4 linked regions of the Lonchura striata genome follow. The protein of the gene in region 4 purifies or fractionates together with the protein of the main gene of each other region. This does not show direct contact. Links are inferred from orthologs where the notes say so. Each region holds a gene or a part of one and is shown on either strand. Other genes may lie near its edges.

Region 1 (7,266 bases), on a different chromosome or scaffold from region 4:
GAGTTGAGAAGCTGAAGGCAAAGCCGGCAAATTAACTGGGTTCTTTTATGCAAAGTGCACAAGATTATTTTCATTGCCATTTCTCCTGACTTCATTAAAAATAACAAAAGCCCATGGGCTTTTTTTTTTTTTTAAGGTGCTGTTGAACATTTCCGAGGTAATGTTTTAAATGAAGACTAATATATTACCAAACCCAGCACTTAACAACAATGAAAGCAGACGGGATCCCCAGGCAAGCATTAATCTGGACACCAAAAGGAAAGAAAAATGTAACAACTGAAGACATCCTGACAACAAGCAGTTTAGACACACACAATCCACAGGTCAAGTGGGAACAAGTAGAAGGAAACTAAACTTCTAGAGAAGCTCCTGCACATCCACCATCAGACTCTGAGAAGAACTGAAACAAAATTGTTCAATTAATCACCCTAAATGCTGAGCATCTCAAATGTGGGAACTTCATTTTAAACACTGAAATGAATCTTAAGAGCTACTAAGCACCTATTGTCTATCACTGAAATTACTCCAGACAGTTTCCAGCTCTTGAACATCAGCTCTGAGCTGACAGTGTGATGTGCACGACAGAAATCCACCTGGAGCAAGAGCTTATAACTTCCAGTAAAAATAAAGACCAGAAACTGATGTGCTTTGCCAAAAGAGAGATAAGCCCAAGTTTTGACTTCGTTGTTGGGTTTTTACAAACAGAAAAAGACAAGCTTTTGCAAATTGCTTCTCTTGTTCAGATTTCAGGGTCTGTTTTGCAGCCCCTTCCACATTTTCAGTGAAATTCCTTGGGGCTAAAACCATCGCAGGGAGATAGGGACAGGGACACCTCCTCTCTTCCCTGCAGATTTCAAGTTGTCACAGTAAAACAACAGCATCTCACCTTGGAATGAATTCCTTGGGAATTACACATCCCTTTTCCTATGGCACCTGCCAGTACCTGAGAAGTAAATGCCAAAAGCCTTGACACTGAGGAAAACTTGGGATTTTCTGCATGATCAGAGAGGTGACATTACTGATTTCAGCAATTCCCTAAGCACAGTCTGCAGAAGAACAGACAGAAAAGGTGCATTTTATGGATCAGCAGGAGACTGAAACAACCCAGGCTGTGCTCTGAGAATAAAGTGAGCACTTAGATACATCAGGGAGAGAGGACAATCAAGAGGAAGAAATGTCCAGGAGAAGAAGAACAAGGTGTGAGAGCATGAAAGGAATAGAAAGTTGCATGTCAGGAGTTCTGGGGCACTCCACACAGCAGGAGAGAGAAGACCTTCCATGCTGGAAGCATGTCCTCCCACAGCACAGCTCCTGTCCCAGGAGGTCACCATCCCCACCCTGGGCAGGAGGCCAGAAACATCTGAACCCCCCGAGCAGTGGCTGGATGGAATGTGAAAATGCAGAGCATTATTTCGTGCCTGTGTGCTGACACAAGTGCCTCCACCCCTTCATTTGGAAGGAGACTTCCAATTAATTGAAACTTGGGATCACAAAAGCCAGTGGCCCAAACAGGTCAAGTCACAGCCTTCAGATCAAAGCTTTCTGCTGGGTGGGAGATTCAGCCACATCTGCCTGTGTGGCCACACTTCACCCCCAGCCAACAAGGGCCACACAGAGGACACACTAACTACAGCACGCAACAGGAGATGCCTTCTCAATCCTAAATTCCTAAAATCATCCCTAGATACAGATCCACGGCCATGTTAATCATTCCCCAGCACACCTCCCAGTCCTACTTTGGCTGAACTCAAAGTCATGCCAGATAACCCAGGGAGAGCCATACATGGCCCCATCATACCCTGGGGTTCAGGCCACCTCACGAGGCCATGTCACCTCAGTAAATCACAGGCCACCATTAAAACCCAAATGTCTACAGCCCCACTGCACTGACCCACAGCCTTGCTTCACTTCCTCTGGGAATACACAAGGGGTTCCTCTCCAAGAGGTCCTGTCACAGTGGGAGGAAAAGGTAGAGGGTTGTGCACTCAGGTCCCCAGGCAGCAGGATAGAAGGCTGCTGGCTCTGCAGGCCCTGAGCATGCCAAAGCTTGGGAGAATCCCCTAAATGGCCTCTCCAGTCTTCTTGGGTAGCTTCTGGAAATCTGGATGCTCTAAACACATCTTGGAATCACAGCCTCTAGCCCCAGGATGTGGGATCACAGAATCACTGAATGATTTGGGTCAGGGGACCGTGATGATCATCCAGCTCCAACCCCCCTGCCATGGGCAGGGAACCTTCCACTAGACCAGGTTGCTCAGAACCCCATCCAGCCCGGGATGTGAGGCTCCTGACCAGTGCAACCACTGGTCTGTGCTGCCCCAAGTCCCCACTCTCAACCCGGAGCAGGTAAGTGGGACCTGCCAGTGCTTGGTGACGTGGTAGCCCATGACCCTGCCAGCTTCACCCCGTGAGGCCGTCTGGAAAAACCCAACCGGTTCCCCACTGCCAGCCATTTGAGAGCACCTCTGCCTTGGAGAGCTCTCCATATCTAAGGTTTGGAAAACAACCAACCCTCCGTTCAGCAGCACCCAGATAAGGCTGAGCGCAGCAGCACGGGGCTGTCCCGGTGACACAGCACCCACGGGGGGATGTGTCGTGTCCCCCCGCAGCCCCTCGGCAGGCACCGAGCGGGAGAACCATGCTTTTGGTGCTGCCGCGGCAGTGGGCGGTGGGGCAGGCAGCCAGAGCCGGGGCTGGCCGGGACCTGGCTCCCGGCGCCCGGGGCAGGCACCGCTCACCGTAGATCATGGCCAGCCCGGTCTCGTGGAGGAAGCGAGCGCGGCGGTGCTTGAAGAGCCAGATGGTGAGGATGGTGAGGGTGAGCAGCAGGATGAAGACGAGCAGGTTGGCGCTGTCCTGGCGGTGACTCTCCTCCGCCGCCTTCTCGGACACGATCTCCTCCTCCAGCGCCCCGGGACGCGCCGCCGCCACCTCGGCGGCCGCCGCGCCCCGCGCCCACAGCCCCGCGGCCGCCGCCAGCACCGGCCCCGGCCCCGCCATCGCCCCGGCACCGGCCCGGCCCCGCCGCCACCAGGAAGCGGCTCTGGGCGCAGGCGCCGGGGGCGGGAACAGCGCCGGGAGCCCGGATAGGGACGGGCCGGGGCGAGCGGGGGGAAAGGGGCCGGGGCTGCCCTGAACGAGTCCCGGGAGCGGGATGCGCGGCACGGAGAAGGGGAGCGGGGCTCACAGGGGGTTGTAGAGGGAGGGAGACCCCCAGGCAGACTTGGAGCGGGGTACTTCAGCGCGGCCGCGCGCAGCAGCGGGGCTTGTTTGTGCGCAGCGTGCTTTGGAGGGATGTCCTGCAGGACACTCCCCAGGGCCCAGGGGGAGACGGGGTCCAGGAGGATCCTGGTCGTGCCTTCACACCGTGCCAAGGCATGTGTTTGGTGCCAAGAGCCGCCGGCAGCCCCCAAGTGGGATCGGGTAAACTTCCCACCTTTTTTACCAAGACACGGAGGGGGGATGCGCGGTGCCGGTGAGTCAAGGGTTGTAATAAATGCCAATGATCAACTTAAAGGTGACTTGTAGAAAAGGTCCTCAAAGAATTGCCTTTGTGCCTTGGGGGCACGGAAGACCCAGGATGCTTGACTGTGTGGTGTTTCCTTGCTTTGCCCCAAGCCTGGCTCGGCCAGGGGCGTCCCTCCTACACGTTGTGTGCGTGCCTTTGCCCCGTTTTTTCTTGCACCGGTTTCTCAAGCTTTGAGGTTAAACGCGTGTAAAATGTGAATTAACTCGGGTACCACTGGCTCTACGCTCTGATTTCGGCCTTAAGGGATCCGGCCTGGCCCGGTGGAGCGAAGGGGCCTGTTCGGGGAGGTCCACGGGCCCCTTGTCCCTCAACCGCCCCCCGGGAACCATCCCGGGTTCACACACCGCTCGGAATTTATCAATGGCCCCGCGTGGGAAAGCGGCGGCCTGGCCCCGCCCCCTCCGCGCGCCGGGGCGCGGCCTGGCCCCGCCCCCTCGGTGACGCCATCACGGCGCGCCGGGGCGCCCTGGCGGCGGCGGGCGGCGATGGCGGCGGGGTCGGTGTGGAAGGGGCTGGTGGGGCTCGGCCTGTTCGCCCTGGCACACGCGGCCTTCTCGGCGGCGCAGCGTGAGTCACGGCCGGGGGGGCGCCCCGGGGCACCGGCGCCTCCGCACGGCCGACGGGGAGCGCGCGGGGCGGGGGCCGGGCCGGGCCGGCAGCATCATCATCGTCCCGAGCCGCGAGCCCGGCGGCGGGGGCGGCCCTGCCCGTGGGGCCGGGAGGAGCGCGGGGGAACGGAGGGGAAAACGAAGGGTGGGAAGGGGGAGCTGCCGCCCGCCGGGTCGCGGCTCCGGCCTGGCCTCTCCCGGCCGCCTGCGGCAGGCCCAGCCGTGCCCCGGAGCAGCGGCACCGGGGCGGCCCCGCTGCCCGGGGAGGGCCGGGCTGACGCGTGTTTTGCAGCCGTTTTTCTGGGGTTTCGCCTTGCCGGGCTGTTTATTTGCGTGCACGGAGTTTTTGATGCGTGCGTGTGTTTCTGTTTTGTAGATCGTTCTTACATGAGGTTGACAGAAAAGGAAGATGAAACGTTGCCCATAGATGTAAGTTTTTGTGTGTGCAAGGTGTAACTGGGGTGGTTTAGTCTCTCAGTTGCTTCCTTTTAATGTGCTAGGCAAGCATAAAGTATAAAGTAGTTTTTAATCACTGGAGCTGGCACTGTCAAAAAGAACCACATTTTTCATTTTCATCCCAACTTCCTGAGCATGTTGTAGTTGTTAGTGAAACCCCAAACCCCAGATCCAGGCCTCCCTCTCTTTTAGAACTACCCTGGAGCATCCTGTCCAGGATCCCCTGAACGTAGCTCAGAGAGCTTTTGCATCCATCACCTCCTGTGCAGCATAAACACCCTGCACCCTCTGGCGCTGGGTGGCTGACATGTTTATCCAGTGTGGCTGTTTGATCCCAGCACAGCCTGCTTCAGGAAGGGAGCTTTTATTTGCTTTATTTGCTTGCTTTTCAAATTTCCACTTCAGTTATCTGTTCCCTCTCTCCTTAATCAGAAGGGCAGGGAGATCAGGTGCCCGGGAGAGCCAGGCACAGTGCCTAGCCCAGGGCTCCACAGTGTTCCTGGCAGGAATTTGGTCCTGGAGAGCAGAGAACAGAGTGTTTGGTCTCAGGCTCTTGCTGAGGAGCTCTGTGAGTCAATTCAGTTGGTGTAACCCAGACCTGTGCTGGAGCAGCTGGAGCTCTGCTGTGCAAATAGGAGAGAATTTTAATTCTTCCATGCCTCAGTTTCCCCACTGCTGGAATGCCCCCTCTGTTTGCTGTCACTGGATGAAAAGCACCAGAGATACTGTGTGAAAGCTGAGATGTTTTGGTAAATGTGCAGAACACCGGGTAATGTGTGTGTTGCACTGTGCTCCCTCTGTTGCAGATAGTCCTGCAGACTCTGCTGGCCTTTGCAGTCACCTGCTATGGGATAGCACATATTGCAGGAGAGTTTAAAGACATGGATGCCACTTCAGAACTCAAAAATAAGTATGTTTGATTTCTTCTTTTTGTACACACGGGTATCTGCTTCTCTGTACAAACTGAAATTGCTCATCTTTAGCTCAGTCCTTCAATGCGTGCTGTAGGCAGCCACCCAAGGGGAGCAGCCACGCTTGCAAAAGCCAACAAAGTCTTGAGTTTAAGGGAGAATTAGATAACAGGCAGAAATCAAACTTCTTGCTTTTCCTCGTCTGAAATCCTGCTGTGCAGACTTGGTACGGGCATGAAGTGTGCAGGTGGGAAGTAGAGCTCAGGAGCCACCACCTGCTGTCATGACATGGTCTCAGACTGCACGTCTGAGTCACTTGAGTCTCACTCAGTATATTCAAGGCAGGACATCTGTAAGACTTTTAAGAAAATAAAGGATTTTGGGCCAAAATTTTGAGGAGGATAGTTGTTTACAGCATGCCAAGGTCATAGGTTCAACTGCTTTATGAGCTGTTCAGTTTGGAGTTGGACTCAATGATCCTTGTGGGTCCCTTCCTACTCAGAATATTCTGTGATTCTGACAGGAAATTGGATGGGCAGATGTTGTCTCTCTGGCCATTTCCAAAACCACAGGGGAGTATGGGAATTGAAAAAGTTGACATAATTGTATTTCAGCCTTTAGTGTGAGGCTCCCAGGGGGATGGAAAGCTGAGCAGTATCAGGGTGTTAACACAAGTGAGAGCTGAACAAAGGCTGGCATGTGATGTCTGCAGCAGCAGCCACAGGCTGCTCCTGAGCCCCGGAAAGGAAGGGGAAGTTGGTGACGTGGACATCTTGTGGTCTTTTTCACAACTGTGTATTTCCTCATTGTTCAGTTTAGGAAACTTAAAAGCAAGCAAGAGTTTGGATTGAAAACTTGTATTTTTGTGTCTAAAGTCAATACGCCCCAGACTGACTGTTCTAAACTCCCTGCTCTGAAAGAGTATTAACCTTGGCTTTTTGCATTTATTTTGAAGGACATTTGACACATTAAGGAACCACCCATCTTTTTATGTATTTAATCATCGTGGTAGAGTATTGTTCCAGTCCCCAGACACAGTGAATTCTTCTTCAAACCAAGATGCTTTGTCATCCAGCTCGGCACTGAAATTTCGAAAACTTGAACCTCTGCGCCGCTAAGACTTTTACAGATGATACCAATAACCCAGGACACTGAGATGTAATATTGAAGTCGGGGATGTAAACACTTTTTTTAATTTCTGGAGCAGTATTTATATTGATCTTCCAGACTTTATAAAATATATATATATATAAATATATATATATAAACTAATGACCTTCTTTGTACACTGTTAATGAGAATGACTGAATTGTGGATTGGCAATGCAGTGTAAATTCTACAGTTATGCTGTGAAACACATCTTCAAAGTTTCAGATATTAAAACGAGTTGCGGCTAACTTAACTTCAGTTAAAACAAAAAGCAAGCTAGTTTTTCCTGCAACTGATGTTCTTTGACAGGAGGGACTGTTTGAGTGTATTTATTTTCTCAGTTTGCTTGCACTACAGTCTACGGATCCCCTCAGAAATGCTGTGTGCACTGCATCACTGAACAGCAGGAAAAGGGGCAGCACCTGATCCTAGAATGCCTGTGGGACACCAGCACGGTGTGGCAGGGGGAGTCAAAGTGATTGCTTTCATTGTTATTTTTTTATAATGCTGAAAAACAGTTGTGTGAAGGGTTATTCTTTTTTTCCTGGTTTCTCACTACCACGTTACTTCCTCGTTGCCCTCCTTTGTTCCACGTGAGTTGCCCCAGGTTCCT
Region 2 (7,500 bases), on a different chromosome or scaffold from region 4:
AGAGAAGTGTACATGATTAACCTCCTGCTTTTCTTCAAAAGTTTTTTTTTGGCTACTTCCAGTGGTAAAGAAAAGCAACAGGCACTGGCCCCTGGCCCGACAAACTGAAACAAGGAGCTCTTACTGCTCCTTGAGGTTATTGAGTTCAGAGCTTTGTAAACATTAACACGTTAATAAGACGTGCAGCTTCTGCTGTTCTGCCCTTGTGGCTGCAATTCTGCAATTGCGGAGTGCGCACAAGTGCTCTCCTCTCTGAAGAGGGAGTGGGCTCCTACCGAGGCTGAGTTCCAAGCCCCAGCTCGTTGCCTCATCCAGTATGCTTCTGCCCTGAAGCTCCAGCTACATTTTCCACACTGCCTCTAAGAGTTATGGAACATGGGACCTGTAACTTTCCAGAGACGTAAATGAATTAGAGGGAAATATCTCGGGTTACAGAGTTCAGACCTCAAGGTCCACAATGAGAGCAAGGAAAGAGGAACGCTCTACTTTGTACCAAGTACTTGGAATAGTGGAGATCTGAAAGGTCAGTACAGCTGTCTATACAAGTGGGTAACATGAAACATAGTTCCAGAAAGCTCTTGAACTTTTTTTAAAGGCAAATGGTTAAAACATGCCCATTTGAAATACGCTCATTAAAATGTAACAATAAACTGATTATTTTGCATAAAGTGCATCCATAGAAATTCTTGTGCAGGACTAGCCACTAAGGCTATGCCTACTTTTCACTTCCGCCTCAGGAAATCAGGACTACCCCACTCTGTGATTTCCAGTGAAGGCACAGGATCACCTTTGCCATTATCTCTACATCTTACATCTTCTCCCAAGCCTCCAATCACCTTTACCTCCAACTTTTCCATAGGCAAACTATGAGTAGCTCCATCCATTACATAATCATGACAGGGCAATGAAGGAAATAGAAACTTATCTCAAAGTTTCACTGTGACCAAAATTACGTCCTATTACCACCTAAATACCCACAACAAATTATTTGCTCTTGCCAGAAGTGCATCCATGAGACATTCTAGACAAGTCAGCTCACAACAATATCCATTTTAATTCATGCTATACCTTTTTTCTCTAACTAGTCCAAAACTTGGCTAAAAGCACAACTTTTCACCATTAAATTAAATAATTCCCAAGCCAATGAGACTAAGGGTTAAGGTAATTTTACATTGTTTGAACCTAATTATTAGGATACATTTGCTGGAACTAAACCAACATTAAGAGCTTATTACATCGTCAAGAAGATGGTGTAGTGTATTTAGATGAACTTTCCTATCCTCTTGAAAAACCTGTCTTTCCAAAACCAACACAGAGTTGGAGAAACAGAAACTAAGTTTCTCAAATGTGTATTCGAACCTCTGAGCACAGAAAACCTGTTACTGTAGCAAAGTTCACTCTGACCAATTAAAGCTCCCTTTAAGCTAAAACAATGGTCTGCTGATGTCACCCTGAAACTGAAGAAGTTGGTTCCAAAGCCTGAAGTCCATTCCTTCTGGTGACAAGGATGCCCTAGGAACAGAGAAGCGGCAATCACACACACCTTTCACTCCGCTAGCACACAATACTTAGCTTTGACCAAGCAGCTTCAAAATCAACTATCCAGGCTTCTGGATCCACTAAAAACCAAAAAATTCCTACCTATGAAACAGTTTAACCACAATTGGGAAGATTTTTAAACGTACGCCTGTGCGCAGGTCAGTGGGAAGGTACATACTTTAGAAAGCTAAACAAAAATTATTCCCAAGACACCACACATGTGCCCTGACACCAGCATGCTCTACATTCCAGCTTCCACAGTTCTGACTGGCAATTTCCAAGACTTCTTCCTATTAATACCGATACTATGAAGAGACACAACATTATTGCAGTGGAATACGCTTCCGTGTGTTTGGTTTAGATGGAGAGTAGCTTCCCAGGTAACTGATAACTGACCCAATGGAGCAATCCAGCTGCCAGGACCAAGGCACTGAGCCGCACAGCCAGTTCGGATGGCATTAGGAGAGCGTCTTGTGACAGCTCGTGTGGCCAGGCAAGAAACGCTTGTCATGTGCCTTTCCTTGCAGAACCAAATTTTTCCCCAGGGCAAACTGCTTTATCCTGAGACTCTCTTACACTCTGACCTGTCTACAAGACAAACATGCAGCTTAGGGCATCCGAAGGAAAGGCGTGAGGAAGAGGTGCGACAGCCATGTGCCACAAGAGCTGCTAAGAAAGTTTCTCGCCTCTTTTCCAGGAGTGGGGACAGAATGGTCCTCACAGAGTCCTGACAGAGCCCGCACCAGGTGGGACCAGGACGGCCACGGCCCCACTCGGGGAAACGACCCCTCCCGCTTTTCTACGCGTGGATGGAGCAGCGGCGCTTCCCCGCGGGGCTTACCCAGCTTCTCCTGGCTGACTCCGTTGGAGCTGCTGCAGTTCTCCACCAAGGTGCTGGTCTCGTCGCGGTTCAGCGCAGCCTCCCCGTCCCCGGGAGGCTGCTCGGGCTTGGGGCCGCCGCGGGGGTGCTGCTGCCGGCCGCCGTGCGAGTGCCCGTGGCCGTGGGCGTGCCCGTGGCCCCCGACGCCGTGGTGGTTGAAGAGGCAGAGCCCCAGCAGGTTGATGATAAGCCCCGCCACCCCCACGGCGATGACCACCAGCGGCTGCTGGATCTCGTGGGGCTCCGTGAAGCGCTCGATGGCCTCCAGCAGGATGGTGAAGCAGAGGGCGGTGAGGAACACGGCGTTGACGAGGGCGCCCATCACCTCGGCCCGCACCCACCCGAACGTGTTCTTCTTGGTGGCGCGGGTGCGCTGGGCGAAGCGCACGGCCACCAGCGCCACGACCAAGGCCATCACGTCGGAGAGCATGTGGAAGGAGTCGGAGAGCATGGCCAGCGACGACGTGACGCGGCTCACCGCCACCTCCACCACGAAGAACAAGAAGGTGAGCGCCAGCATGCACAGCAGCCGCGCCCGCCGGTTCTGCCAGCACCGCGGCCCGCCCGGACCGTGAGCCGCCATCCCCCCGCACATCGCGGCTGCCCCGGCGGGGGCGCGAGGAGCGCGGCGGGCGGTCGGAGCCCCGAGCGCTCGGGCGGCCGCTCCGCTCCGCTCCCCCCGCGCCGCCGCCGCCGCCGCTCCCTCCGCAGGCGCCGGGCGAGCAAACTTTGCACCCGAGCCCCCTCACTCTTTTCACACGGAACCCGAGCGCCGCCTCGGACACGCCCCCGCCCGCGCCCCATTGGCCGGCGCGCCCCGCCCGCCCGGCCGTGCCCTCCCGCCCCCGCGCCCGGCCCCGCTCCCCATTGGCCAGCGCGCCCTCGCGACAGCGGCGCCCCGCCCCCGCCCGTTAACGCCCAGCGGGCCGCGGCCTCCCCGTTCCGCCCGCCCGCGCCTGGAACGGGGAGTGGGCGGGGCCAGGCGTGACGCGCCGGGGAACGGCGGATCCCCATTGGCTCACCGGCCGGCTTTCCCCTCCCGCCCCGCCCCCGCAGGCCCCGCCCGCGGCGAGCGGGACTCGTGCAAAAGGTGCGCTTCACACGGCCCCGGCCCGGCGCGCGCCCGGGGGCGGGGCCCGGCGTGAGGGGCGCTGTGACGTCACGCGCCCGGAGCGGGGATCTCGGGTGGGATCTGCGGTCTTCGGCGACTTTTTGCGGGGGCGGGCGTCTCTGTTTGATTTTCTCTGTTTAATCTTTCTCTTTAATTTTTCCTCCGTCTAATTAAAAGATTAATTTTTAATCTTTTCCTGTTTCTGCCACTGAGGGCAGGAAGATAAGTGCGAACGCGACCACTAATAACTGATGGGAGGCTAAAAAAATTGGAAGAGTTTTTACAAGAAGTTCTGCTTGAAGTTTTAGAAGGCTGTATAATATAAGAACATATTCATAAAATAAATCTATAATAATTTCTATAATGTTAAATACGAATTAATAAATTTTATAATAATTTTTCTATAACAATATAGGGAAAAATATGTTAATGCCAAAAGGTCGGTTCCCTGGACACTGGTTTGTTACGCTTGTAGTTAGGAAAGGGAAAGCAAGTGTTTTGAGACATCCGGAAAAACCACAGACGCGTGACCACAACATATAAAAAAAAAATAAACGGCCAAAGTTCCAAAAAGGCAGAGCTGACCTCTTACTTTGCTCACTGTGTTCTAGGGAACCAACAAACACGGCAGCAAGAGACAGAGTGTGAAAGAACATTCCATGAGCAGAGCGTGGAGAGGAGACAGCAGCCGTGGAGGTGGAGCTGTGGACCCACAGAGGCTGGAGGAGAACTGGTGGCCTGAGAAGGAAGATGTAGCCAGAACGCAAAATGTTGTTCCTGTACTTGGAGATTTCAAAGGGATTGTGATTCAGGGTCCGAGCAAAGGTTCCTGACTTAATTTGGGCAGTAAAATGACAGAAGGTGCTCACGTGTCCACAAGGAAAGCTTGTCAATGAGAATAACTGAGAGCAGTGATTCAGGACAGGCTTCCCCTGTGCTTGGCAGCATCCCCAAGAGCCCACATCTGGATACCACACTCTTATCCATGTGTGGGATAAGCGGGAATGTGTGCCATTTTGCTTAATTTTCCTCACATGGCAGAGCTGGCTTGGGCACCAGAGGTACTGCTGTGATGACCTGTGACCCTAAACCATGTTACCTGTGAAAGTATCCTTGGGTCAAAATCTAGGATGCATGCAGGATTCTTTACTAGCCATTGTAAAAAGAGTCAGCAATTAGATTGCTATAACATTCTCCTCACCTGGCTTCCCGTATGCCCTGACGTCACTTACTAACAAGTAAATAACCGGGAAGCTGAAAGGCAATTGCATGCAAACAGAACATGCCCATGTTGTGTCGTCCTCACTCCCACACAAAGCCATTAGTTTAACAAGGAAGAATTGCCCAGATTTAGGATATATGGGTCAAAGAAACTGGTGCAGCTCAAACCTCTTTTAATTACTGCAGGTGAAGTGGGTTATCATTTTACAGAGATTGCTATTAATCCAATGGAATTTAGCTAGGAAGGAAGGGAGAACAACAAGTTTGGTCTCTCTCATTGGCTCAGCTCCAGGAATTAGTGAAATTGGGTTTTAGTTGGTTGCCACCAGGGTGTCATCATAGTTTTCTTGATTAAAAGTACTCAATCCCCTCCTAAGAGAAATCAGCAGAATATCAATATCAGTAGAACACTGATGGATAAATCTTCATTATAAACTTGTCAAGAGCTTTGCCTGATTTAAGGAGGGGAGTTAGGGCTTTTTGGACTCCTTTCCTGGTATGCAAATGATGTCCAGATCAATTTGTAATCCTTTTTACATCTCTTCACCATGAGACCTCCTGATCTGCCTCACACCACTGTCCAGTGTACTGCATCTTTCCCCTTACAGGATGGCATCTTGCTGATCTTTAGCCATGTCCAGGGATAGCTTTTTGTCCTGTTATACCATGCTGAGTGCTTAATTCTACTTGGGGCCAAAAGCCACAAGACATGGACAATATACCCCAGGAGAATGGGAGGGTGTGGTGTCTTCCCAGGCAGGGAAGAAAAATGGTTCCTGAGGCCTTCCACTGCTCCCTGATGAATAGGGCTGGGCATACAGTTTTGACCCAGCCACTCTTGTCTCCATGGGCTTCAAACACAGGGACTTTGATGAATGATCCCCTGTGGCTGCTGGATGTGCCAGGCATGGACTGGCAGCTGGACCACACAGGAGTTTCCGCCGCTACCTCTTCCCCACACTTTCTTGTAAACCAGTGGGCTGTACACTGTTGTTTCCAGGCTTTTCTATTGTATTACCATACACCAGCAGCCAAGAGGAACAGGGATATTTCCTAATTTAGGGCTGTCCATCTGGCAACACCATCAATTTTAAGACTGATGGGAAAGTGACTGATACAGGTACCTAATGAAACCATAAATGGTGTTTTACAGGAGACACAATGTTCCTGCCTATGCTTTTAGGCAGAATACTTTGTCTTCAGAGTAGGGAGGACTCTGGATTTTTTGTTGTTTTTTCTTTTTTTTTCAGCTTCCAGGCATTGTTCATGACTCAAAGAATTCTTTCTCAGCTCAGCTTCCGGTCCACAGATGTGGAAGGACCCATCTAAAATCTGTTTACTTACCATAAATGCTTTGTGTTCCGAAGGGAGAAGTAGCTGTGGATGTCTGGCACACAGCTCCCTCCCCTCCCAGAGCCAGGTGACAAGTCTGAACAGAAAGCTGCTGCTTGTCACCTGTCCTGCAGCCAAACGTTTTGTACCGAGTCCTGCTGGGCTCTCCTGAGCCAGCCGAGCCCTGTGTGAAGGACTTTGGCTGGGAGTTTTGCTATTACTCAGCATGTTTGCTGAGCAAATAAAGTCACTGCTTTTCCCCTTTGAATTTCTGAGCAGGGTTGCAAGTGCAGAGATCTCCACCACGTAGGGCTCTTCATCGCTGTGTGCCTTTCCACTTGGAAAAGGTGAAACCCTGCCTAGGTGCCGATGCAGTCACATATTACAGAGCACACGGCCTCCTTTTAACACCCAGCTCTTCCCCTTTCTGTGCAGTCATCAGACCTGTTGGCTTTTAATGAGGGCTTTCTGGGACTGTGGCAAACGTGTCTCCATCTGTCTGTTCCACTTCAAGGCTGTCAGCATTCATTTTAGGCTGCGTTTCTCGCAGGCAGTATCTCTCTGGTAGCTGTCCTTACAAGGTTTCTTCAAATTAGATGCAGTCGGCATCACCAAAGCCAACAGAAGCACTCACTGTCCAGATACCTGCATATAAAAAGGTTGTTCCTTGTATCAAAAAACAACACAAAAGTGAGTATGACTGTTCATGTAGCTCTAGGTTGGATTCACAGTTAGGCACTGATTCAGGAAAGCAGCTTTATCAAGGAAAAGACATAGACATGTGTTTGCAGTTAATTAAAAGGCCTTCGAACAGAGGTAAGTTAAGCATGTGCTTACATGCTTTTGTTAGTGACCTGTGAAGAAAGCCTATAGCAATAATTGGCACTGAGATAGGAAATGAAGGACACCTTGCCCTACAAAGAGATTTCTTCTTCTACCTGATCACTGTGTCTGTGAAATCTGGGCTCTTTGGAAGTCGGTGGCAGAACTCCAGGCAAGTTGAGGTGATCAGTATGTCATCCACTATACTTCTGAGCCTTGCAAAGCAGATTAAAAGCTCTTTTTTTCTTTCCCCTTCTGAAACATTTTCTCCCAAATGAAGAAACAGCTGATTTTTAAAACATGCCTCTCTTATGTCCAGTTTTGATCTTTCCTTTATTTTGGATTTTTACTTTCAAGCTGCTCACTTGATTCAATGGCATTCCGTATCCTGTAAATGCTCCAGAACTTCAGACACAATTGACTGCATGGTCAGTCTGTAATTGTTTTTAATGAACAGGCATGCCCTTTTTGGTGGACTAAAGAGTATTTCCTGGCTGCTTTGATTACCAGTTTGTATGCTTATGATACAAATAGTATTTTCCTAAAATCCACAAGTAGGCAGGCAAAACAGTTGCTCAAATTAGCTGTGAAATTA
Region 3 (7,762 bases), on a different chromosome or scaffold from region 4:
GTCCAGAGGGGAAAGCCTCAGTTTCACTAAGTACAAGGAGGGATCTCCAAGCTTGAATGAGAGAGCAGGATCCAAGGAAAGCTACAAAGCAAATCCCAAGCTGCCATGGGGGAGAAGAGGTTTGGAAATCCTGACATTTAATCACACAGTAACTAAAGGTTCGTAGATATGTCTAATAAGACAGCTATAGTGCATGTTAATAATAGATTATGAAAAAGCTTATTTATGGAGGTTTAAGCAGGCAGATGGTAGGGCCATGGTGATAAGGCTCTCCAGAGCCTTTGCTACCTCCCAGCTCCCAGGGATGCAGCAGGGATTTGCCTTCCTCTGCCTCCAGCCCCCCATGCTTAACTCTCACACAACTGCCCAAAGCAAAGCAGCAAATCCCTGCAGAGGGACTGCAGCCAGGAGAAGTTTCTTATGGGGCATTTTGGGGTGCTCAGAGCTCCTAGCCTCTCTGCAGAACAAGGATTGGGTGATGAAGTTCCATCTCAGGTGCAGTCAAGGGAAAAACCAACATCAACAGGCAGCAAGGAGGTGGTCACAGCCAGGACAGGGGTTAAAGCCACCAACAAACACCTGCCTTGGTTTTCCAGGGGGTGTCTCTCCTCCCCCAGGGCCCTGATCCTGATAGACTTGATTCTGAGAAAGCTCCCAGAAAAGGTAGAATAGGGCTGGTTTGTCTTAGTTTGGATAACAAAGGGAGAAAATGTGCATTTTGAGCCAGGAGGTGATTCACTAGCATCCCTGTTCCCGGGGCCAGGGCAGGTCCAGGGACCCCAGAGGAAAAACATCAAACAGGAATTTTGGAACAGGAAAAAGGTAACAATGAAACAAATGCAATTGTAAGTCTTGATGGGGGAGGAAAAAACCCAGACATTGCCAGGCTGTACCATGGAACTGCAGATACAGAGCCAGAGGGACAGGTCCATCCACGAGCATCAGCATCACTCTGAGCCCCCCAAAATTCTGCTTCTCCCTCGTGGATGGTGAAAATCCACCACACGGCAGTGTCCCTCTGCACACACTGGAGAGCCGAGGGCTCAGGAGCCAGAAACCTCTGCCCTGGGCACACTTGGGCACGTCAACAGGATTTTCCGGAGCATCTCAACATAGAAGCCTCAAGGGTGTTTGCACTGTCTGGGCGCTCTGGGAAAGGGCATGGCATTCTCGGGGCATTAAAAACATATGTAGGAGCAAACAAGAGAAAGAGGACAAAAAAACACAGACGAAGCCTGAAACAAGCTGAGAAGGAAAATGTAACGTTCTCGCACGTTTTATGTGCTTGGTGAAGGTGGGGTGGGGTGAACAAAAATGCCTTGGATTGGCACGGACAGCCCGGCGGAGGGAAACAAACACCGGGAAAGGCGCTGGAGGAACAGCATCAGGCACCTGAGCACCCCGAGGGCGCCGAACACTGACCCTGTCCCCCAGCAGCAGCCGGGGACATCTCTGCTCCTGACCCCCTTCCCCGAGCTCATCCCTTCTCCCAGCACCTCCCGAGCCCCGGCGACCGTTAACGGGCGGGGGCTGCCCCGACCCCGACCCCAGCCCAGGAACGGCGTCTGCTCGGCTGTTCCCATTCACTCGACCGAGACAGCACCGCCGCGTCGGGTCAGGGTCACCCGAGCCACCTCCTGCCAGCGCGCTTGGGGGGCCCCCGTCCCTCCTGCCTGGCCCAGCTGGTCCCCGCAGCCGGCAGCCGCCTCCCCCAGCCCCCCCAAGCAGTCCGAGTGCCCCCGGAGACGCCTCCAACCCCAGTCCAGTGCTCCCTGGCAGTCCCAACCTCCCAAGTGGAAGCTACAAACCCAAATATTTTATTTGCTTCATTGCTGCTGACGAAGTCAGAGCCGAGCGCAAAGAGCTTCCGCATGATTCCGGCAGGAGCGCCGGGCAGCAGCACGGCTGTGTGTCCCCAGCGCCAGAACACAGCCCGGGAGCACGGGCAGGGAGCCCGGAGCAGCTGCCGAGTTCTCGGGGCGCAACACAGAGAAGCAGAGGGGCACCTTGCGATGCACCCAATCATTTGGGTTGGGAAACATCACTGAGTCCAGCCATGCCGCTAGCACATCCCCAAGTGCCACATTCACCTTTCCTGGCAGGGAAGGCAAAAAGCGGAGGGAAATACCTGAGCATGCACAGCCTCCTGTCCCCGGGCCCAGCGCGGAGCGCTGCGAGCCGGGCGCCTCGTGGCCACGGGCTTCCAGCAGGAAAAGGCTCCTGCTGCAAAGAGCCCAGGGAGGAGAGACGGAGCTGCCAAAGGCCGCTGCTGGAAGCTGGTCCCCATCCCAGCCTGCTGGCACCACAGAAGCCTCTGCACCCCTCACTTTGGGGGGCCAGCCAGTGCCTCCCAAGCCCACCCAGGTCCCCTCCGTGACAAGCACAACGGGCCGCAAGGACAGCTTAGTCACTGCGAAACCTTCATGAACTACAAGAAGTTTGAGGGCTGCAGGAAGGAGCAAAGAGCACCCTAAGTTCGTGGTGGGCTATGACCAGGACACCCCACTTCCTCCCTGTGCCTTACTTGTAGAAGGGACCATCTGCACCCCTTCTTCGCAAAGGCACAGCTAGAAAACCCCCATCTTCTGAACATATCCACCGAGACAAGCTGCGCGTCCTCCCCAGCGGCCCAGAGCACATGCAAACGGTTTAAATATTTTTTCCCAGCCCTGCCCACTGTGCAGCCCCAGCAACCTCCCCACAGCCGGCCAAGCCACATCTGCAGAACCAAACAGCAGATCCAGGTGAAAAGCAGCCTGCAGTGCAGCAGGGGGGCTGGCAGAAGACCCCTTACCTCCAGCTGGACACAATCCCTTCAGCTCCACTGAGGAGCTGAGCCTGCTCTGCATCGGCCAGGGAAATGGAGCAAACATACTCCTGGTTTACACCCGGAGCAGGCTCGATCCTGCCCTTCACCAATGCTGTTCTGCAGGGAAGCGACCCCACCAAGGGAAAAGGGTTTGCTTAGGAGGAGACCCTCCCCACAAAGCCACCCCAGTCCCCAGTGCATCCCCACCACTGCCCCTCACGGGTTGCAGCAGCTCAGCCCTGAGAGCCAACAGAGCACCGCACACCAGGGCTGCGGAGCAGCAAACCCCAAATCCCCCTCCGAAACCCGGGGGGCGGGGGGCTGAGGCCCCTTGCTCCATCGGAGCACTGAACCGCGCACCAGCTCCGTGCCTCAGTTTCCCTATCGCCCCCTGCTGAGTCCCGAAGCTCAGAGCAGCAGCTCCCGCAGCACACAACCTCTCCCCACAATACACAAACCAATTCCCTCCCCATTTCCCCCACCCTGCATGAGCCGGGGAGCCTCAACAGCTTCACAGCCCCCCACCCATCGTCTCTCCATCCCCCACCGCACGGGTCAGCCGCCGCTTGTTTTCTGCTGATGGTTGTCACTATTTATAATCTTTGGAGAAATGCCACTACCCAAAAAAACAAAATCAATGCATCACCACGGGGACTGCGTGCAGGTGAACAGCTTGGATTTAAAAGTAAAAACCCAAAGAACTAGGTAAAAATACACTTTAATGAGATCAGGGACCCCTTGGGGTAAGGCACCAACTCCCGTGGCTCCTTTTCCCCAAAAAAAGCGATCGCAGCCCCCGGTAGCACCTCGGGAGCCCCAAATTCCCATTCCCCGCAGCATCAAACCTCATTCCAGCTTCCCGAAGGGACTGGGAGCGAGTCGTCGTCGTCCCACACCCCGCACCAGCTCTCGCCGTAACCCCGGCTGGGGGGTCCCGGGCCCGCAGGGCGCAGCGCCGAGGTGCTCAGGGGGAGGAGGGGAAAACTTAAAATCTGCAAATTAATCGATCGATCGTACCTCCGTACAACTCCCCCAGTGCCCCCCAGCAAAACGAGAGCCAGGACGCTGCGACCGGAGCCGCCGCGGCCGCCACCTGTTCCCACCAAAGGGTCCCCAGCTTCCCGTCGCGGCCGCCGGTGAACCACCGGGATCCCGCCGACCCCCGGGCACCGGCCTGAGGGCTCCTCTCGGTCGCGTTCCCCAGGCTGCCACCAGCGGAAGTTTTCCCTCCCGAGGTGCGGCACGGGGGGGTCGGGGGTCGGACGGCGGCCCCGGTACCGGGAGCGAGCAGGAGCCGTGGCGGTTCGGGAACCCTCCACTGGAAACAGGTGGCTGCGGGACGGGCGGGACCCTCCGAGCACCGGGGTCGGTGGAGTCTCGGAACCGCACCGAGCGGCGCACACACCGCGCTCCGTTCCTACCGGCGGGCGTCTCGGTGTCCAGCGCGTAGACCCGCAGGGCGAGGGCGAGCAGCAGCGCCCGGGCGCTCCGCATGGTGCGGCGGTGCCGGGACCGGGCGGGGGGCGGCGGGGCCGTGGCCGCCGCCGCCGCTGCGCGCCCGCGGTTCCGGCGCGGCGGGGGCGCAGCGGGGCCCCCGTGCCCGCCCCGCGCCTCAAATACCGGCGGCGGCGGCTCGCGCCGCCCTGACGTCACCGCTGCCCGCGGGGGGCGCGGGGGGGGGCGCCGGTACCGGGAACGGCAGCGGTGGGCGCGGCGGCGGCGCCCCCTGGCGGACACGAGCGGTGGTGCCGCGGGGGAAGTTTGGGAGCAGCGCAGGGGGGGCGGTCCCGGGAGTTACGGGGGGACTGACGGGGTTCTCTGGTACCGGGGGACAGGAGAGGTGGAAAGGGGTCCCGGGAGCTGGGGACGACGGGCGGCGCTCGGTCAAGGCAGGAGGTTCTCCCGTACTGGGGGGGTGCGGGGAGAGGGGCGGTCCCGAGAGTTTCGAGGAGGGGGGGAGGCCTCCTGTACCGGGGGGTGGGAGGAGGGGAATATCCGGTACCGGGAGAGAGGGGGAGGAAGTCCCAGGAGAGGCGGGGAATGGGGGTCCCGGGAATTACGGGCTGGGGGAGGTGCCGGGGCAGAGCCGCTTGGTCTGCCCGGGAGCGGCTCTTGCTTGCGGGGTGGGGCAGGAGAGGACCCCGCAAGGGTGCGGAGAAAGCACGGGGGTCCCCGGCTGCAGGGAGCTCCCGGTGCGCGGAGAACTCCTGTTGCTGCGGTGTCTCCTGTTGCAGCGGGGGGGATCCGGCTGCAGGAGGAAAGAGAGGTTCCCTGCGGGCAGGAGGCTGCCAGGCTTTGAGGGGCGTCCCTGGTTTTCTGGGTATGCAGGGATGTAGGAATGTAGGGATAGTCCCCAGCTTGCGGGGAGCCTGCCTTCCGGAGGGCCCCCACGACCCCCCAAATGCAGGAGGTGTCCTCAGGGGTCCCAGTTTTAGGGTCTCCACCAAGCTGGAGTGAATCCTGCAGGTTTCCAGTTGTAGGACAGGTGCTGGGAGGAGGCTGGGACAGAGGGAGGTGATGGTGACACCTACTGTGAGGTGGGTTCCCCCAGTCCTCGAGTGCCCCCATCACCCCTTGGCCGTGCCCAAGGCTGTGGGGCAGAGACAAGACCCTGCGGGTAGACTTTGGGGACAGAGCCTCCTGCCCATCCAAGGGTGTTCTCTGACCCTGAAACCCCCCTGGTCCTCTCCCACAGGCTGGATGTCCTTGAGGGACAGGGATGCTTAGCTCGGCAGGATGGTGACAGGGAAAGCCAGACAAGGCTGTATGGGAGTGGCAGTGGCTCCTGAGACCCCGGTGACACCCAGCAAAGCCACTATCCCCCGGGGTGGGAAGGGGGTGAGAGAGGGAGGTGCAGGATCTAACTCAGAGTGAGCAGAAAGGAGAAAAACCTGGAAGGATGTAAAAGGAGGAAAATCTCTGTCCCTTTCCCAGCTGAGTACACAGGATCAGCCCTCGTGTCCCTGCCAGCAATGCCAGGGGGGATGAAAGGCCCTCTTGTTTGTTGACATCCTCTCCAGCCCTATTTCTGGAGGAAAATGTTTTCCCAAAGGTTTGGTGTGAGGAGGAGGGGAACTTTGCTTCAGCTTTCCAGCGTGGTCCATGCTTAGATCACCTAGCCCTGGCTGTGGCTCCAGGGTGGGAATCTGCCTGGGCATAGGAAAACTTGGAAAGCAGAGGGAACAACGCTGAAAATACTGGGACTTCTTATTCCAAATCACACAGGGAGAGTCCCTGGCAGTGGCATCACCCTGCGATGATTCAGCCTTGTCCTGAAAGACAGCACCCAGTTGCCAGCATCCAGCAGGGTGACAGAGGGACAGGGGATGGTACCTGGTGTTACTGAGCCCGGTGAACCCACTGGGAAGTTCCCAGCCCCAGAAGCAGGACAACACTGCCTGCCAGCTTCATCCAAGTTCAGCTCATCCCTCGGGATACTGCTGTGCTGCTTCTCCTTATGGGCTGGCTTCATTATCTGGGGACACTGCACAGCCCTGGGGACACTGCACTGACATGGGGCACTGCACAGCCCTGGGCACACTACACAGCCTTGGGGACACTGCAGAGCCCCCTCCTGGCCCCCTCCTCCCTAGGACAGGGGTTCAGCACATCTGGGGTCACCTCAGAGCTACCAGCCCCAAGTACTCCTGGCAGTGTCCCCGGTGTCACCCCTGCCTGTGCCATGGGGGTACAAAACGTTTCTCTTCCATTCCCAGTTGCCGCCAGTTGCTCCCAGCAGCACCCCCAGCAGGTTAGCACCATGGTGACACTTCTTGCAGGGATGCATCCGTCCCCATGGATCTGGGGATAAACCAGACCAGTACCGTGTGTCCCCCAGCCAGGACAGTACATCTGGGGTGAGGGCAGAGGGTGATGGACACTCCTCTCCAAGTTACAAATCCTCTCCCCAGTGACACTAAAAGCCTGTTAAAATAATGCCCGATAAGGGAATTAAGCTGCTTAGATGTGTGGCAGCAAAAGCAGAAGAGGGCTGGCACAGTGCAGGCTGGTACAGTGCAGAGGAGGGCACTCTGCAGGGTCCCCCTGGAGTTTTTTGGAGAAAAATCCCCCAAAATCCTTCTGGGAAGAGGCGCTGGAGGGCTGGACTGGGGGATAGTCTCTGCCCAGACTGGGGAGGAATCTGGGGGGGTCTTGACCTAGCAGCTGAACTGAAAATGTTCGGGTGGGGGGTAAATGCAGCCAAGTGTAAGCAGGAGCAGGATATTCCCAGGATTCTGAGGGAATCAGGCAGGAAACCAGAAGTTTTTAAGCTGCACAAGCCAGTTGGAGCACTGCACTGCTTTCCACCACCTTTTAAACCCCTGAATTGTATTTCCAAACCAATCACTTCAAAAAAAAATAAAAAGGGTTTTGTTGCATCCAGCGTATCACAACAGAACTGTTCCCCATTCCCTGTGGGTCACTCTCCTGCTCCAACAGCCCCACAGCCCATCCGTGCCACCTCCTCGGGTGAGCCCTGGGGTTCATCTGGTGCCACTCCCGTGCTTCAAGGATCATCAATGCACCAGGACCTGCCACGGGCTGAGGGCACGGCACGAATGTAGCGGGAGCGGAGCGGGACGGGCACAGGGGCTCCACAAAAGCTCCTTGTCCCCGCAAAGGGCTGGCACTGGCCCAGGGCGGGAGGGCGGCACCTCCCAGGGGCTCCTCCGCTGGGGAAGGGCTTTGGGGGAGCCTCCCGGGACGATGGAGCTGGGTGTGGGGAAGGATGCATGGAGGAATGCGTGGACAGCGTGCATTCATGTGTGACCAGGTTTGGAGACACGCAGGAATTGTCCCCAGGGCTCTGCATGAGGACAGTTGCTCCTCCAGCACATCCAGCTCAATCCCACCTGTCCAACAGGGCTGAAAGGGAGGAAAGTTTGGCCAAGGATCCATCACTGCTTCTCCAAGCTGCTTGGCATCTACAGGGCCAGGGTTGCAGACAGGGAC
Region 4 (7,921 bases):
TTTTTATATTAACTGCACTGATTATATAGCCAGGATATACATAAAATACAGGATCATCATAAATAAGCATTTCACACACCAGTACTATGTCAATACTAGGATATAATCAAAAGCCTCTTTTTTTGGGACTAACACCTATTTCCCACAAATCTACATTAACCATATTACTATTCTTTTTTTCTCCCCTACTACTATCCACAATGCCTGCCATTCTTTGGACTTTACAACCTTGCTTGAAGATAGTAAGTCTGTGGTTCCCTCTTTTTTTCAGGTGATACATTTCAACAGTTATCTGTTAATTTTAGTAGTGTTTTGTATTTGACGTTTTTTTTTTTAGGTTAAAACTAGAAATTTTGTTAATTCATAGACCTCCTCAGTAGTTCTAGCACTTAAAATAATCTTGCCCTGAAGATTTAAAGTAACTGAGTTTATCACAGGTGAACATGTAATCTTAAGGTGTATTTTTGAACACCTTTGTCTGAGGAGTATCAGTTTTACCAACTCCATCTTCTTGTTCCTTAACCATCGTTATTAGGACAAGCACTCAAAGAATTCCACATCAATACCTTCTGGACTCCTTAGCTCCTAGCTAAACTGTCAAATATTAAACAAGTATCACACTTGCATTTTTAGCATATAGCTTGCCTACCTTACCTTTGCTAGTTTGTCATGCACATGGTTTCTGCTTCTCCTGAAGCAGAGCAAGAGGTACAACTTTCTCTTCCAGTACATTTCAGGTGTGTTTGTGTATGATTGACAATGCTTTTCACTTACGTAGCTGAAATTTTACTGTAATTACCCCCATTCACTTTTGTTCCATACACAGACTAACACAGGCATCCAAAAAGACACACTAGTACTCATCTTTGCAAACAGCTCCATTCCAAAATTTCTGATGCTGTCACATGGTTCCCACTGAATCTTATCACTACTCCCTGATCCTACCCAGGACTACCCTAAGTTCCTTCAGCTTTCAATTATATCTCTTACTTCTTCCTTCAAGAAGAGAGGGTGCATTTTAATTTTGACCTTTTAACATACTTCTAAAATAGTCCCAGAAATGCTGAAATGTTATCAAGACCAATTAAAGTTAACACTCAGCTGCCAGGCAAAGATGGTTTTAACCAGCCCGTGACATCTTTCACTTTTGTGAACTCTGCCACACTACAGTCTTAGAATATAAAATAAATCTTTCACCTAAACCAATGAGTTTATGGTCTCAAAACAGATCTTCACACTACACATTTAATTATCTTTAAAACCTACTGAACATTCCATAGTAACACATGAAGATCTACGAGAAACTTTTCTTACTCTATTTTCAAGATGGCAATGAAAATAAGTCAAAAGGATTCCCACTGTTACAATTTCCTCAGCAGAACAAAGCAAATTAGAAGAGTCTATGGCTCTCACAAAACACCAAACATATTTACTAGCAGTCTTGTCAATGCATCTAAGTTCAGACCTGTAATTTTAAACATACATTTTGCATAGCTTGGTCACTTTTTACCATGAGTAACCACAGCACAGCTACACATCAGCAGGTCATTTAAGCCAGCAGTAGTATTGCAGAGGATGCTCCAGGGACCAACAACAGTGCTGCAACATCAGCAGAATATTGCACCTAAAGTAACAAGCTGCTTCTTCTGAGACACAGACCAGTACTGATAAAAGACAACGGCATAAGCTGTAAACATAGTCTGACTGGATATTAGAATTTCTCTCCCCACACGGACAGGCAAGCAGCAGTACAGCCTGCCTAGTCTCAGTCCTTGGGCTTTTCCAAGACAGTATAGAAAAAAATCTCTAAGCAAGCTGGACCAGCCTCAGGGCTACCTCTGTTGCAAGCAGCAGGTCAGGGGAGAATTCGTGGTGTCAACAATTTGATTTGGGTTGCATAGTGCAACTGTGTCAACTTTTGTACTTCTGTACCAGGGTGTATCGTATACATGCCATTAAGTTAGCAGCATCATTATTCCATTCACTGAAGAACTTAGTTAAGAGGTCAGGATCTTTCAGATTACTGACCTTTTCTTGTACTTTGAAAACAGTCATGCCTTTTCCATGTAACTCTCAGAGTTCTGGATTCTCTAGCAGAAAGGGAGTAAGACAGCTATTCTCACTCCGAAGTCCAAAGCTCCTGCATCCAGTATCAATATACTGTCTTTTCACAGGACCAAATACCAATTTCATCCAGGGATGTGAAAAGCGGAGGATATTTCACACCCCCTTTCTTCCATCTGCAACCATGAGCTGCTTTATTCCCGCTCTCATTCTGCTACATTGGCATCAACTTGACATAACATCCAGCTGTAACTGGAAACGTTGTGTAACTGGAAATGCATGCAAGAATTCTTCCACGATTTTAATTTTTTCCTTTATTGGGTGTGAAAACTGTACCTCCCTCGCTTTACCTTTAGCGTTAAGCACCCTGCGCTGTAGTGGATGCCGAATGCCAAGTTCAGCAGTTCCTCCAGCCACAATGCTGCACTCCCGCAGGCGCCTCGAGATATTCTGCTGCTACAGGGAGCTCGACTAAAACCTTCAAGACCCTCTTTCCCAATCAAAAAATACAGATTTTAGGGACAAACGGCCACGCGGTGTCGTGTCAGCATGCGACTCGAACCTGCTTTTTGGGATACCTCGAAAGGAGAACCAAGGCCGCTGGAGCTCCGCCCGTCGTGCACCCGCGACTCCGCGCTTCTCCCGCCCGGCCTCGGGGAAGGGGCCGAGCTCCCGAGCCCTCCCGCATCCCACCCTCGGGACCAGCCGCCGTCGTGAGGCAAGGGCGAGCCGGGGCCGCCACCGCCCGCCGGGGCCATCGCCCCTCCCCTGGCCGCACGGGATGCACACGCACCTCCCGCGGGGCTGAGCGCCCGCCGCTTCTCCCGGCCCGGTTACCGAGCACGGCGACGCCGCTCCTCCCGCAACGGGCGGTTACCGGCGGTTACCGGCGGCGCTGTCGGGCCCGCGGCGGGCGGAGCCGGGCCCGGCCGCTCGCCCCGGCGCATCCCCGGCCGCGCACGCGCGCGGCGCCCCCGCCGCTCTCGGGAGTGCGGGAGCAGGTGCCGCGGCCCGCGCCGCGCCGCGCCGGCCAATCACGGCACGCACGGCACGGGCGAGCGGAGCGTGCGGGGAAGCGGGAGACGGGCAGCAAGCTCCGCCAATCGGAAGCGCCCGGATTGAGGCCGGACCAATGCGCGGCTGGATCGCGGCTGCCGGCCCGCCCTGCGCGGGGCGCCTCAGCCAATCGCCCGCCGCCATCGGCCGGCCCCGCCCCTCCGCCTTGGCGCCGCTGAGGGGGGTTTGTTGTTATGGCCGCGGGCCGCCGCCCGCCGCCCATCCCCGCCTGCCTCCAGCCAGGGAGCGGCCAGGATAAAGAGTTTTCCAACCCGTAACCTCGAGTTAATGAAACCCTTACTTACAGCTAGACGCTCACCCTGCCGCTTGAACGTACGTGCCGCGAAGCAGAGCGAAATAAAAACATTTTAAATGAGCTACTGTGAAAAACGCCAGTCACTTGTTGTTTATTATTTTTAAAAGTTTAATAATAATAAAATGGTTATAAAAATAGTAATACAGTTAGAGTAATAAAAATTTAGAGTTAGGGCAATTACAAGACAATAGAAAGCAAAGAATTACGGACGTCCGGATATTTTTGGATGCTAAGCTGCTCTGAAAAATGCATATTTTATGATTGGCTTTTCGCAAATGTTACAATGAATATTGTATGTGTAATGTTAGAAAGTTATGCTGTATTAATTCTCTTAAGTAGTGTGTTAAATATACTTTCAGCTTACAACATAATGTTAAAATAGAAACTCTGCGATGTAGGATTTTTTTACTAGCTCAAGGGATAAGATAATCAAGAAACTCTTCGCACAGAGATAACAGCAACAGGACAAAGAGTTACAGGCCCCTTATCAGAAAAGACAAACATTCTTCTACCTTCTCTCTGTCTTCATGGAACCACCAGGATTGAGGGGAAGGAGTTGACAAAAACCAGAAGTGCCCGAGAGCATCCGGACATCCGTAATTCTTTGCTTTTTATTGTCTTGTAATTGTCCTGACTACATTTTTATTACTCTAATTGTATTACTATCTTTATAACTATTTTATTATTATTAAACTTTTAATATTTTAAAAACCAAGTGACTGGTGTTTTTCACCGCTGCCAAAAACATGTCTTGTGAACAAAGGAATAGCCCTTAAAAGCAATAGCCTGTTGAATATTCATGTATCTCATACATGATGCATAAATTCCTTGTAAATTAAGAATTTTTCTGGTTTTTGTCAACTTGTTCCCCTTAATCCTGGTAGTTCCATAAAGATGGAGTGAAGGTGGAAGAATGTTTGTCTTTTCCAATAAGGAGGCTGTAATTATATGCCCTGTCACTGTTATCCCTGTGCGAATAATTTCTTGATTATCTTATCTCTTTTCTTGAGCTAGTAAAAGATATTTTAAATCACAGAGTTTCTATTTTAACATTATGTTGTAACGTAAAACTATACTTAGCACACTACTTAAGAGAATTAATACAGCATAACTTTCTAACATTACACATATAATATTCATTGTAACATTTGCGAAAAGCCAATCATAAAATATGCATTTTTCACAGTTACTAAAGCCAAGTTTGTATCTGCCTCTTATGCTGAAGACAAATGTTGGCATGCCTTTGCAAAAATCCACAAAAATATTTAAGAGGAGAATTGGAAACACATTATTCAGAGAATTGAATAACTGTGCTTTAGTGAAAATCAAAATTGTTTGAATAAACCATTATTAATACTGAGCTGTTGAAAGTCATATGTTTCTTAACTAATTTTTAACTAGTTTCTTTAATTAATTGTAAGCAACGCCTGCTTTTAGCCAGTACTGGTTTTCTTCACAGACTCTTACTGTTACTGTGATCTTTAAATCAGTGAAACCTTAAGTTTGCTAAAACTAACCTGACAAGCTTCAATAAACAGAGCCAAAGGGAACTAAAGATTGGACAACTGGGATCTTAAGGTTGTGGCCCTTCAAGGATATTGAAGTAACCAGAAGATAGAGAGGGGATTAATATCTGAAAAGTTGGGGACTTCCCATCTAAGAAAAAAAATTATAAAAAGACTAAAAAAAGGTGCACTAAATCAGCATGAAAAGCATAGTATGAATAGAGGATAGAATACTAATTAATGAAGAGAATTATGTAACTTGGAACCAGTGAGCACTAATTCCTGTCTTTGCTAAAAATGTACAAATAAGTGACGGAGTTTTGTATCTCTGCCAGCACGAAGAACTCTGTCAGCCACACACACCTCTCAGCCAAGAATAAAGTAATGCCTTACTCCCTAACAATAAAATGGTGAGTGTTGAGGGAGTCTTATTTTTCCCAGTGTTTCTGGAGGACTTTAGTAACGGAACTAGCTTGAAAATTGTGGTTTCTTACCACACAGACATTTTAACATGACTAAGTATGTGTACAATGAGCCTGAGGTAGACCTTATTTTTGAGACTCATATTTTAAACCACATGAAATTACTGAAGTAAAATTTCCCACTCAGTGAGCCTGGTGATCTGGTTTGTAATGTGAAACTCTTCTCGGAGTGTTTTTTTCACTTACGGTTTACCACCTTTGGTTTTTAAGTTACAATCACAATGCCTAGACTTCAATAGAGTCACTTGTAAAGTCAGAGGAAGTTCCTTATTCCTGGGACCTGAACTGAAGCCTTCCTATGGGAAGGCTTCTATTGAGCCTTTGATCTGGCCTCAGAGCCACTGAGTGTGAAGGTTCAGTGCCCAGGATTATTACACAGAAAACCACAGGTGAGATCTTGCTTGCAGGATGGAAAGGAAGCTGCAGGTGTTCTGTAACCACTCCTTGGGAACACACCCAGCTCATTCCCTTGCTAGTGGTGGCTGTTGCCAAAAATGCACAGACATATTCAGCTATTGCTGAAGTATTCCTCCACTGCACTCCCTTGTTGTAAACTTCCTTGGGCTGGAATACTTGCTCTTCCTCATATTGCTTCTTCAGTGAAAATCCAGAATTCCTCTTAGGAGGTTCCTTTGATTTTATAGTGGAGCCGTGGTTCTGCAGACTGTGCAAGAAACCTCTGCTCTTGCAAAAGCACGGGGAAGAATTAATGGTTCTTGTGAAGCATTAATTATTTACAGCATCAAGTAAAACCTCATTTACATCCGAGTGATGAGAAAGGTATTCTCTGATTGCAACGGTATCAAAAACAAGCACTGAAGCACCAAGCTGGCAGCACAGAATGGAAAATTTCATTTAAAAGGTTTTTCTAAGTCCAGTAATTTCCTAATACAATTTCAGGTATTCTGATGAGCTTCTGCCGAAAGCACACTTCAACAACTAGAGAGAAATCTCATTTTGCTGTGAAAATGAGATGTTTTGGTAGCAAAATCTATTATTTTGGCATATTCTATATTTTCACTGATTTAAATAATTGCTCTGGAATTTCCTTCTTAGTGACACTGCCCTGTAACAAGTAAATGTAAGGCACCCTGAATGCAGACACTACTCCCAACAGCGAATCTGTTGCAGTGAAAGCAATGGCAAAATAAGGTTTTATGTTTTCACTGTAAGTGCAGATGAACAAAGGTATCTCCAAGTATACCTCTAAGCATGCTGGATTACTGCAGCAATTCTTAACTGGCATTAAACTCCTAACGAAGGCTGCAACAGTTGTTCCAATATATGTATGTACACATATCTACATATATAGCACCACAGTATATAAACAATCCCGTACATAAAAATTTAAAAAAATAAAGTAAAATAAACAACAAACCTCTAAGCAATATTATCAAAATATTACTAGAGGTTGTCTTTGAAGAAAGCACTCTTCTGAACTGTTTTAATGTAAAAAAATCAATCCCATCTCATTGTAAATGAAAAACACTGTGGCATTAGGAATACAACTCTACATTAATGTAACCCGTTCAACACAAATCCAAATATTGCAGTTTATTTTCTGCTGTCAGGAAGCAATGCCTGTGCAGGGGAATGAGGGTGCAGTCGTGCTTCATGTGCTAAGTAAATGATTCCAGAATTCTGACCATTAACAGGTAGATGTCAAAGGTAGATTTTAATTTCCCAAAAATTTTTCAAATGAGATTACTGTTATTTACTCTTTATTTTCAAATTTATGTTGAATTTGAACTTGTGACAAGGATTGAAATATCAGTAGATCAGATATCAGTAATATAAGATTATCAAATAACAGGATCCAAAATTGTATTTAAATATAGATTTTATTTTACAAAAATATAGTTACCATAATACCCTTATTTCCTGTAATTAATTAAATGCACAATTCACTAAGAAGTTTTACAATTTTCCAAAAAATACCCGTTTAAGTTTCAAGTTATTCAAATCATAATTTGTAGACAATTTTCATTTAAAAAATATTTAACATAACTTATATCACATTAAGGCTTAAACACATTTATATTAAGTTTGAGATAAATTTTCATAACATTAAGTTGTTCCTGTGAACTACTTTAAATACTTGCAATTAATATTGACAACATTTCCTTCAGTTCTAATTTCCCTATAAAATTGACTAGTGTTTTTAATGGAGTTGAATGCCATGTCTTTAATATTTTTCAAAAATGTCTGTATTTTTATTTCTGGTGAAACTTTTTATACCTTTATGCTTTAGTCCCTGAGGCAGGCTGTAACACCTTATCAATTGTTTATAATAACATCTATTTAATCACTTAAACTAAGGTGATAATTTTTTTATATGACATATTACTAAAGGACATTTTACAGAAATTACTAGCATTCTTTTCATATACCTTGTCATATAAAGACCTGAGATTTAACTCAACTCTTTCCTAATAGAGAGTATTAGTAACTAAATGGATATGGAATTGATCTTTTGACCCGTTCATTTGTTTGCTTGT

Evidence for each region.
Region 1: the proteins of CLGN (region 4) and SLC9A6 purify together in Homo sapiens (co-immunoprecipitation; 3 studies listed by BioGRID and IntAct, with this or other methods). This does not show direct contact. The link is inferred for Lonchura striata from reciprocal best matches to the Homo sapiens genes CLGN and SLC9A6.
Region 2: the proteins of CLGN (region 4) and SLC30A1 purify together in Homo sapiens (co-immunoprecipitation; 3 studies listed by BioGRID and IntAct, with this or other methods). This does not show direct contact. The link is inferred for Lonchura striata from reciprocal best matches to the Homo sapiens genes CLGN and SLC30A1.
Region 3: the proteins of CLGN (region 4) and PTPRU purify together in Homo sapiens (affinity purification with mass spectrometry; 3 studies listed by BioGRID and IntAct, with this or other methods). This does not show direct contact. The link is inferred for Lonchura striata from reciprocal best matches to the Homo sapiens genes CLGN and PTPRU.

What each region holds. Positions count from the first base shown.
Region 1 is NC_134616.1:6,717,380-6,724,645, forward strand, and holds the start of SLC9A6 (sodium/hydrogen exchanger 6), read right to left. Parts: upstream 3,001-7,266; coding exon 2,739-3,000; intron 1-2,738. Other genes in the region: MMGT1 (ER membrane protein complex subunit 5), read left to right, coding at 4,015-4,096, 4,514-4,566, 5,400-5,503, 6,460-6,622. UniProt on the Homo sapiens protein: Endosomal Na(+), K(+)/H(+) antiporter. Mediates the electroneutral exchange of endosomal luminal H(+) for a cytosolic Na(+) or K(+).
Region 2 is NC_134605.1:12,215,776-12,223,275, reverse strand, and holds the start of SLC30A1 (proton-coupled zinc antiporter SLC30A1), read right to left. Parts: upstream 3,015-7,500; coding exon 2,381-3,014; intron 1-2,380. UniProt on the Homo sapiens protein: Zinc ion:proton antiporter that could function at the plasma membrane mediating zinc efflux from cells against its electrochemical gradient protecting them from intracellular zinc accumulation and toxicity.
Region 3 is NC_134628.1:7,632,030-7,639,791, forward strand, and holds the start of PTPRU (receptor-type tyrosine-protein phosphatase U), read right to left. Parts: upstream 3,009-7,762; 5' UTR 2,874-3,008; coding exon 2,795-2,873; intron 1-2,794.
Region 4 is NC_134606.1:65,813,364-65,821,284, reverse strand, and holds the start of CLGN (calmegin), read right to left. Parts: upstream 3,015-7,921; 5' UTR 2,858-3,014; intron 2,727-2,857; exon of another isoform or gene 2,643-2,726; intron 1-2,642. UniProt on the Homo sapiens protein: Functions during spermatogenesis as a chaperone for a range of client proteins that are important for sperm adhesion onto the egg zona pellucida and for subsequent penetration of the zona pellucida.